Cricetulus griseus: one gene and its partner. The protein of the gene in region 1 binds, or shares a complex with, the protein of each later gene. Links are inferred from orthologs where the notes say so. Each region holds a gene or a part of one and is shown in the gene's direction. Other genes may lie near its edges.

Region 1 (4,406 bases):
TGCCCCCCTCTCCCTTTAACTCTCACCGTGGGCACCAGGAGTCCCTGCTGCATGATGTCCCGGATCTGCTGACCCCGCCGGGTGCACCTCTGAGCCTCCTCCCGCAGCAGCTGGCCCAGCCCCACGTGGCAGAAACCGTACTTGGTGGCCATGTTTCTGCACTGTGTCCCTTTCCCGCAGCCAGGGCCGCCCACCACGAAGATGATCAGGGGAGACTTCAGGACATCTGTAGTGTTCATGGAAGACAGTGGGTACTAGTGCGTGTCTTCAGGGTGCCCTGGTCTCGAATCGAAGGATCCCAGTGCTGGGATTCTCTTGAGCCATTTGCACAGACCTCCTTGGAGCACCCTTGTAATTCCATCACCCCATTTTACAGATAATGAAAGGGAGAGGCCCTCAAACTCACGCAGCCGCACCCTGCTCAGTCCAGCATGCGGTGGTCCTGTCTAACCTACCTGCTTACGTCTACAGTCACACCTCCCCCCGTGCTGGGGTCAAGCGTCCCAGCTTGTCCTCCCCCTGCCTCAGACCCCCCTCCCCCCATGCATTCCATAGTCAGCCATGGTTCTTTCTCTCTTTCGGCTCGCTTTGGTCCTCCTAGCCAGCCTCTGTAACCCAGGGTGCATGGCCCTTGATGGTGAAGAAATGAATGTCTCTGCTACCAACCGTGGAAGTCAGTAGCCGTTTATGGTTCAAGGTTTGTGCCTGCCTTGTCCCTCTGCTTAACCAACTCCTATGCATCCCTCAGGCCCCCGTTCTCTGAGCCCTTCCTCTAGAGCTGTAATTCCGCAGGCATCCACCACTGGGGGGGAGAGGGCATGCGCAGCTGCGTTCTTGCCGCGTTAGTGTGAGCACACCCGCACGGTGGGTGGGATACCTGCTCCCACGCCCCGTCCGCCACCCGCGTAAGCCAACCACCCCACCACGTTACCCTTCTCCTGGGTCCTCAAAGTTCTGCCCACCTGGGGCAGCGTGGACTGGCACAGACCCATGTTGCCCGCATGCCGGAGTACGCGGGGGCCGGGTTCCCACCTGCCCCGACCCCTTGGCTCCGCTCGACGTCACAAGGGGCTCATTTTTGCAAGATGCCCGGAATTCCCCCCGGCACCCGGGGCACAGAAAACGGAATCCCAGCCCCCCGCCCCCCCCCCCGGAGCCCCAAGAGTCCTCTCGCGGAGCCGGCCGCGGTTGCTATGGCAACGCGGCCTCCGCACCCGCCACTGGCACGTTGGCGCATGCGCAGGAGTGCCGAGGACGCACTCGCCAGAAGACGCCACTCCCACCCTGCCCAGGATGCACCGCGGTGCCTGAGCCGTGACGTCACGAGGGGCGTGCCCACGCGCCGTGAATAAATCACTCGCGCTGGCGGCGAGAGCGCTAGTCAGAGGCTGGAGACCGCCTGAGCTAGGTGAGTGCTGAGGTAGCTCCCACCCCGGTGTGGCAGTTCTAGTTCCGGGTCAGAGTCACGTCTTCTTGAGACTTAAGGGTTTGGAGACACAAAACACAGGATCATACCAACGTAACTCCCGGGCAAGTTGCCTTCCCCGGGACCGAGGGATACCACGAAGAGCATCGGATCACGCCGCCCCGGAACCGCTTGAGCAACGGCCATGGCGACTCTAGTGAGTATGAATGAAACGGAGAGGCGGGGTGGGGGTGGCAGGACAGATCCACGGCCTCTCCTCGCCTCACAAACCCGTGCTTCCTCTGCAGAGCCCCGGCAGCCAGAACGTCACCGAGTATGTCGTCCGAGTCCCCAAGTAAGTCACCCACACCCACCACACGCTCCTCGGCCCGGTGGTGGCTCCGTGCAAGTCACAGTAACAGTCACACCGTAGTTAATGTCAGGCTCGATGACTCTGTCCTATTTTCAGACGCTCAGGCCACACACGGTGGCTGCGTTTAATCCGGGAGACAGAGGGAGGTGGATCTCTGGGAGTTTGAAGCCAGCCTGGAAGCCAGAGCGCGTTCCAGGACAGCCAGGGCTACACAGAGAAACCCTGTCTCGAAAAAAAAAAAAATTCCCAAACTTAGATGAATGCGAGGCCAAGTAGTCCACCATTAAGCCATACCCAGCCCTCTCTTATTTTGAAGACCAGTCTTACTGTGTAATGTAGTTCTAGCTGATTTGACCAGGCTGGCCTTAAACCTACCAAGACCCTCACACACCTCCGCCTCTTGCCTGCTTGATCTCCTCTTTTTCCCAAGACAGGGTTTCTCTGTATTTCTTTGGAGTCTGTCCTGGAACTTGCTCTGTAGACCAGGCTGGCCTCAAACTCACAGAGATCTGCATGCCTCTGCTCCCCCCTCTCCCTCAGGTGCTGGGATTAAAGGCACTTGCCACCACTGCCTGGTGGCCCACTTTTTCTTTTATTATCTTTATGTGTAAGAATGTTTTGTCTGAGTCGGGTGTTGATGGCACACGCCTTTGATCCCAGCACTCAGGAGGCAGAGGCAGGCGGATCTCTGTGAGTTCGAGGCCAGCCTGGTCTCCAGAGCTAGTGCCAGGATAGGCTCCAAAGCTACAAAGAGAAACCCTGTCTCAAAAAAAAAAAATGTTTTGTCTGCATGTATAGTTATGCACTGTGAGCATGCTGGGGCTTCTGGGTGTGGCTAACTTCTGATAGGGTTGGAGGAGATGGATCCATTTTATTTTATTTATTTATTTATTTATTTATTTTTGATCTAGCTTCTTAAACAAACTCTGGAGCAGTGGTTCTCATCCTGTGGGTTGTAACCCCTTAGGTTCAAATGACCCTTTCACAGGGTCTAAGACCATTGGACCATTGGTCTAATTAGACCAATGGTCTAAGCCTAAGACCATTAGAAAACACAGATATTTACATTATGATTCATAACAGTAGCAAAATTAGGAAGTAGTAACGAAAATAATTGTGTGGTTGGGGATCACCCCAACATGAGGAACTGTTTTAAAGGGTGCAGCTTTAGGAAGGTTGAAAACCACTGCTCTGGAGCTTTTATGAGTTCCCAGAATTACCTACAACCAAGGGGTGTAATCATGGTGGATTTTTTGAATGACTAATCAGTAGACTGAATTTTCTCTTGCCCATTCCAGGAACACAACCAAAAAGTACAACATAATGGCTTTTAATGCAGCTGATAAAGTCAACTTTGCTACCTGGAACCAGGTAAGTCTATAATTCTGGGTGGCTGGGGCAGAGGCCTAACTGGGTGGTGGTTACAGTCATCACTTTCTTGAAGTGGTGGCGGCTACACTTACAACCCTGGCAGATGTGTGGTTCCAACCATTTGGAGGTGTGGTCTGACTACATAAATCCTGTCTCAAAAAAAAGCAAGCCTGGGTTGTGGCTGGTTAATGGAGCATCAACTAGCATATAGCAGGCCAAGTAGGACCCCATGTGTGCTGGACTTGGTAGCACGTGTCTATCATCCCAACACAGGCATGCGGTATAGGTTCTTAAATTGAAGACTATCCTTGGCTATGAAGTGAGCTCAAGTGAAGACTAGGATACCTGGACCATGCTTTAACAAAGACAAAGTATGGCGGGCGCTGGTGGCACACACACTTTTAATCCTAATCCCAGCACTAGGTGTCAGAGGCAGGTGGATCTCTGTGAGTTTGAGGCCAGCCTGGTCTACAGGGAAACCCTGTCTTGAAAAACCAAAAAATAAATAAGGAAATTTTAAAGGCCAAAGTTTTAAACTGTCCACTATTCTGGGTGCCATGTTAAAATGCTATATCTCCATATTGTCTGGTTGCATCTGAGCTATCCCCTGGTGGACACCGCCTGTCTCTGTGGTCTTTCTAAGGGCCCCATTCCCTGGAGTCCCTTTTGTGTGTGACATTTCGTGTGTGCACATGCACTTGTGGGCATGTGGTGCATCTCAGGGCCAGAGGTTGACAACAGGTGTCTTCTTTAGTTACTTTGCACATTATTATTTGGATGACATATGTTAGGCCACAGATGAGTGTGGGACACAATTTGGAGATCAGAGAACAGCTTTCAGGGGTCAGTTTTCACCTGCCTGGGTCTTGAAGTCTAAGGCTTCGCAGGCAACACTCTCTCACAGACTTTCCTCATGAGTTTCTGAGTCAGGGTATCCCACTGAACCTGGGCTTGCTGACCAGTGAGTTCCAGGTACCCTCCTGTCTGTTCCTGCCTGCTGGGGCCTCAGATGCATGTGGCATTGCCCAGCTTTGTTCCTGGGTACTGAGAATCCAAACCCTCCATTCCTGATGCCCAGAGCATATGGAATCCAGCAGAGGGAGACAGAAGGGTGTTCCTGTGGGGCCTGAGGATCCATGCCTGCTGCTCCCCCAGGCCCGGCTAGAGCGAGATCTGAGCAACAAGAAGATCTACCAGGAAGAGGAAATGCCAGAGTCCGGAGCAGGCAGTGAATTTAACCGAAAGCTCCGGGAGGAA
Region 2 (4,561 bases), on another chromosome or scaffold:
TACGTCATAAACGGTTCGACCAACACAAACAATAATTAAGTGGTACTGGTCAAGGCATGGCCTGATTTCTCATTGTCTCAGCTCTGGTTTGAAGAGTCAAGCTCCTTCCCATGAGATAACTCCTCCTCCTCATGGGGTAATCTGCCTTCAAAGCTCTGCTTTTCCTAGAATCAAAGGTGACTACAAGCTTAGGGCTGTGACTGGAGAACCTTGGATGACTTCCTGCTCTTCCTCCCCCTTCTTCTTCTGAGTTTGAAAGGAGACATAAAAGCCGAGGAAGATGCCTGCATTATCTTTGTGCCTTCTGCCTTGAAGGAGGATGAGCTGGGCTAGGTATCAATGGTCCTTAGGTAGACACTCCAGGGATAACAAGTCAATATGCAGAGCAAGGGGGAGCATGATGTGATTGGTGTTTGAAGGGTTCCAAAGCCCTCTGGCACCTGGCATTGTCTTCACTTGTCCCCTGGTGGCACTGCCATCTTCCATGTTATACAGTGAAGTTTTAGTGCTCATGTACCAATGGCTAGGCTGGCTCATACCTGTTACTCCAAAGACTAGGAGACTGAGTTATTGTTCCTGTTGCTGTGTCTACAAACCCGACAGAAGCATCCTCAGGAAGGGTTGGGATGTCATAGCAACAGGAGTGCCAGGCAGCTGATCACATTGCCACCTGCATCCAGGAAGCAGAACAAGATGGTTTCCTTTCCTCTTTTATTCAGTCTGAGGGCTTAGCCTCTAGGATGGCATCATGCACGTGGTGAGTCCTTAATGGTGAGTCCTTAATGGTGAGTCCTTCCTTCCTCAGTTAAACCTGTCTAGAATCTCACCAACACACTCAGAAGTTTTTGTTTTGTTTTGTTTGTATATACATTGTGTGTACACAGGGAGGTCAGAGGAATTGGTTCTCAACTTCTCCCACATGGGTCCTGGGGATTGAACTCATGTAGTCAGGCTTGGTGACACTATCTTTACCCACTGGACTGTCCTGCTGGCCCACTTGTCTGTTTCCACAATGATACTAAATCTCATCAGGTTGACAAAATGAACCATCATGGAGGCTGGAGAAATAGCTCAGCAGTTAAAGACTGACTACTCTTTCAGGACTAGAGTTGGGTTCCCAGCACCTCCAAGGCTGGTCTCCAAAGGCTCCTGTATGTACGTTCTGCACAGACAGGCAGATAGAAATCTTTAAAAATAGGAAAAATAGCCACAATAGCCACAAAGACGGCTGAAAAGCAGAGAGGTGCCAGGCTGTCATTGTTTTTTGGTTACCTGTGTGTCCAACAGAGGATCCGCTGGCACCCTGTCACTTTTACACACCTTCCTGCTCCTCATCCAGCCAGCCGGGGTCCTGCAGCAGCAGCTCATACACATACACAGCTTGGATTCCAGCTCAGTGAGCCAGTTGCAGGTGGCCCAGCCTTCCCTCGCTGGAATATGCGCCAAAGAGCCGCCTGGTGAAAGCCACTTTTTTTTTTTTCTTTTTGTTTGTTTTGTTTTCAAGACAGGGTTTCTCTGTGTTGTTTTGAAGCCTATCCTGGCACTCACTCTGTAGACTAGGCTGTCCTCGAAACCACAGAGATCCGCTTGGCTCTGCCTCCTGTGCTGGGAGGTGCTGCCCCTGGGGTTTGGACAGGATTTCTAACCTGCTCCGCCTCGCCTGCTCGTGCCTGCCGAAGGTCATCCGGTCCACCAGGGGGCGCGGGGCCAGGGGCTTTGATTGGCTGTGTCCTCGTGACCCGGAAGTGGTCGCGGTCCGGAGCTCAGTGTGGTAACGGCGGCTGCGGCTTGAGTCTGGGAGCCGGAGCGCACCTCTAGGATGAACGCTCCTCCGGCCTTCGAGTCGTTCTTGCTCTTCGAGGGCGAGAAGAAGTAAGTGGAGGCCGTTAGCTCTGGCGCGGTGAGCACTGTGCTTCGTGCGCGTCTGCCGAACTTCAGGCGGTGGTGCGATGTACGCCTGTGTTACAGCGGGGAAACTGAGGCCGGGGCACGTCGAGCCCTTGCTCCAGACACTTAGGAAGTGTCGGGGACTGTATTCGAACTCAGAGTGTCAGGCTCCCTTTTCACTGGTCTGCAGCCCCATTATCCATGCTGCGCAGCGATGGCTTTAGAGCTCACCCCCCTGCATAGGGTGCGATCGCCTGTGATTCCAGGACTTGGCGACTGAGGCAGGAGGATAATGATGGTAGCGGTGAAGGGACCGAGACACAGCTACCCTCTCACACTCCTCAGCAGCCTGAGGATTTCCTCTAGATTTTCAGGGATCTCGGCCAAACTCAGGTTCGTGGCTTCAACACTAGAAAGAATTTCAGGACTCGACGGTTTAATGACGCACTCAGGAGGCACAGGCAGACGGATCTCTGAGTTCAAGGCCAGCCTGGTCTATAGAGGTAGTTCCAGGACCAAGAGAAATCCCGTTCTGAAAAAGAAAAAAGGAGCAATCCTGTGTGGGAAAGGGTCCTTGGTGTGTATAGATAAGGTGCCATCACGGAGTAGAGAAGGTTCCTTGTTTTTTTGTTTTGGTCATGCTGGGGACTGGACCCAGGGTCTGGCCCATGCTAGGTTACTGCTCTATCAATAAGCTACACTCGAGCTTTTTTTTTTTTTTTGTAGTTTTCTTTTGGTTTTTCAAAACAGGGTTTCCTCTGTGTTGCTCTGGCTGTCCTGGAACTCGCTCTGTAGTGCAGGCTGGCTTCGAAGTCACAGAGATCCTCCTGCCTCTGCCTCCCAAGCGCTGGATCAAAGGTGTGCTCCACCACTGCCTGGCTCACTCCAGCTCCCCCTGCCCAACATTTGCTAGGCTGGGGAGATGGCTCAGTGGGTCACAGCTCAAAGCATTTGCTGAGGATTGGTGTGGATCTCCAGAAGCCGTGTCAAAGCTGTGCAATGTGCCTACTTCATTGCTCCTCCAGGGACGTGGAAGTGTAGATAGGAGTCAGCCAGCATGGTCTGTCAAGGAAGGCAAGGATGACAGTGTTTTTCTCTGCCCTCCTGCCCCCGTCACTGGGATTACTAGTCCCAGTGACTAGTCCCAGCAGGCCTACCTTGCTTGTTTTGTTTGGAGGGGGAGTGAGTGGTAGGATGAAACCCAGAGCCTTAAAAATTTGAGATAAATGGTGACCCATTGAACCATGCCAGAGCTCTCAGAGAGCCCTTTGGGGCGAGCAGACTGGGGATAGTGGGACTTGCAGAATGATGGCCTCCCTTGAATTGTTAGGGGGTTTGGAGACAAGCTGTTTTCTGTCTTCTAGGAAAGAATTTAGTCAAGAGCTAGTTTAAGACAACCAATTTGTATGAGGGAAAGAGCTGGATGTTTTTGTTTCTGGGGTAGTGGGAACAGCCCAACTGCAGTTTCTAGAATGTTTGATCACAAAGGGGACACCGATTTGAGAATCAGTGTCAGCATCACAAGAGCTGGATGTGGGGCCAGGGAAAGCTATCACCCTCAGCCTTTGCCTGTCTCATTGTAGAATCACCATTAACAAGGACACAAAGGTGCCCAATGCTTGCCTGTTCACCATCAACAAAGAAGACCACACTCTGGGGAACATCATCAAATCGTAAGTCCCAGGCCAGAGGCCTCGAGTGTCACCAGAGCTCTGTAGGCTGAGCACATGCCCTGGGACGGTTCCTTCCGTCTCTCCGCAGCTTGCTGGCACTTTAACCTGTCACTGACAGGTCTGTTCACATGCGGCTTGCTTTTGTTGGCTTTTTGATGTAGGGGTTCATGTAGTGTAGACTGGACTCAAACTGACTCACCTTACCATGGTTGCCGGGATCCTGGCCACGTAACACGTAACACATCAGCTTCCTGTTGGCTCATTCATGTAGTGTATAAGTTTGCAGTTGCCTCTTGGTCTTTTGGCCAAGATCAAGTTCAGGGGACTCCAGCAAAGCAGGTTTTCATTTTAGTGGGCATCAAGATGCTAAGAGGTGATGGGTATGGTGGTACACACCTGTAATTCCAGCACTCGGGAGGCAGAGGCAGATGGAGTACTTGTGAGTTCAGAGCCAGCCTGGTCTACATAGTAAGCTCTAGGACAGCCAGTTACATACAGTATCTCAAAAAGATAAAGCAAAGGGGGCCAGCAGTGTCACCTCACTTACCCCTACATTTGATAGAAAGCTGCAGGCATCGGCAGATTACCAAACTTTTGTTACTGGGTGATTGCCAGTGCTTTCAGAGCTGGGGGGGTGACAGACGGTCCCCACCTGACATGAGTGCTGGGAATTGACTCTGGCTCCTCTCCAAGAGCAATACTTTCTTTAAATTTAAAACACCTTTTGCCTATGTATGTCTACCGTGTGTCTGTTACCCATGAAGGTCAGAAAGAACTAGATCCCTTGGAGCTGGAGGTACAGGTGGTTAGATGCCACATGGGTGCTGGAAACCTTTTAACTAATCCAGTTCTCCAGCCTTCCCTGCATGTAATGTGCTGGGTCTGGTGGTTTGTGCCTTTAACCACAGCAGGCAGATCTCTGTAAGTTCAAAGCCAGCTTGGCCTACATTGAGTTCCAGGATAGCCAGGACTGTTAAGGAAACCCTGTCTGGAAAAACCAA

Evidence for each region.
Region 2: Gtf2f1 (region 1) and DNA-directed RNA polymerase II subunit RPB11-a share a complex: the UniProt entries of both Homo sapiens proteins name them as parts of the TBP-based Pol II pre-initiation complex. The link is inferred for Cricetulus griseus from reciprocal best matches to the Homo sapiens genes GTF2F1 and POLR2J.

What each region holds. Positions count from the first base shown.
Region 1 is NC_048598.1:96,546,426-96,550,831, forward strand, and holds the start of Gtf2f1 (general transcription factor IIF subunit 1), read left to right. Parts: upstream 1-1,345; 5' UTR 1,346-1,610; coding exon 1,611-1,622; intron 1,623-1,707; exon of another isoform or gene 1,708-1,713; coding exon 1,714-1,760; intron 1,761-3,076; coding exon 3,077-3,149; intron 3,150-4,227; exon of another isoform or gene 4,228-4,232; coding exon of another isoform or gene 4,233-4,304; coding exon 4,305-4,406. Other genes in the region: adenylate kinase isoenzyme 1-like, read right to left, coding at 27-226, 932-992. UniProt on the Homo sapiens protein: TFIIF is a general transcription initiation factor that binds to RNA polymerase II and helps to recruit it to the initiation complex in collaboration with TFIIB. It promotes transcription elongation.
Region 2 is NC_048597.1:115,110,741-115,115,301, forward strand, and holds the start of DNA-directed RNA polymerase II subunit RPB11-a, read left to right. Parts: upstream 1-1,715; 5' UTR 1,716-1,819; coding exon 1,820-1,872; intron 1,873-3,470; coding exon 3,471-3,560; intron 3,561-4,561. UniProt on the Homo sapiens protein: Core component of RNA polymerase II (Pol II), a DNA-dependent RNA polymerase which synthesizes mRNA precursors and many functional non-coding RNAs using the four ribonucleoside triphosphates as substrates.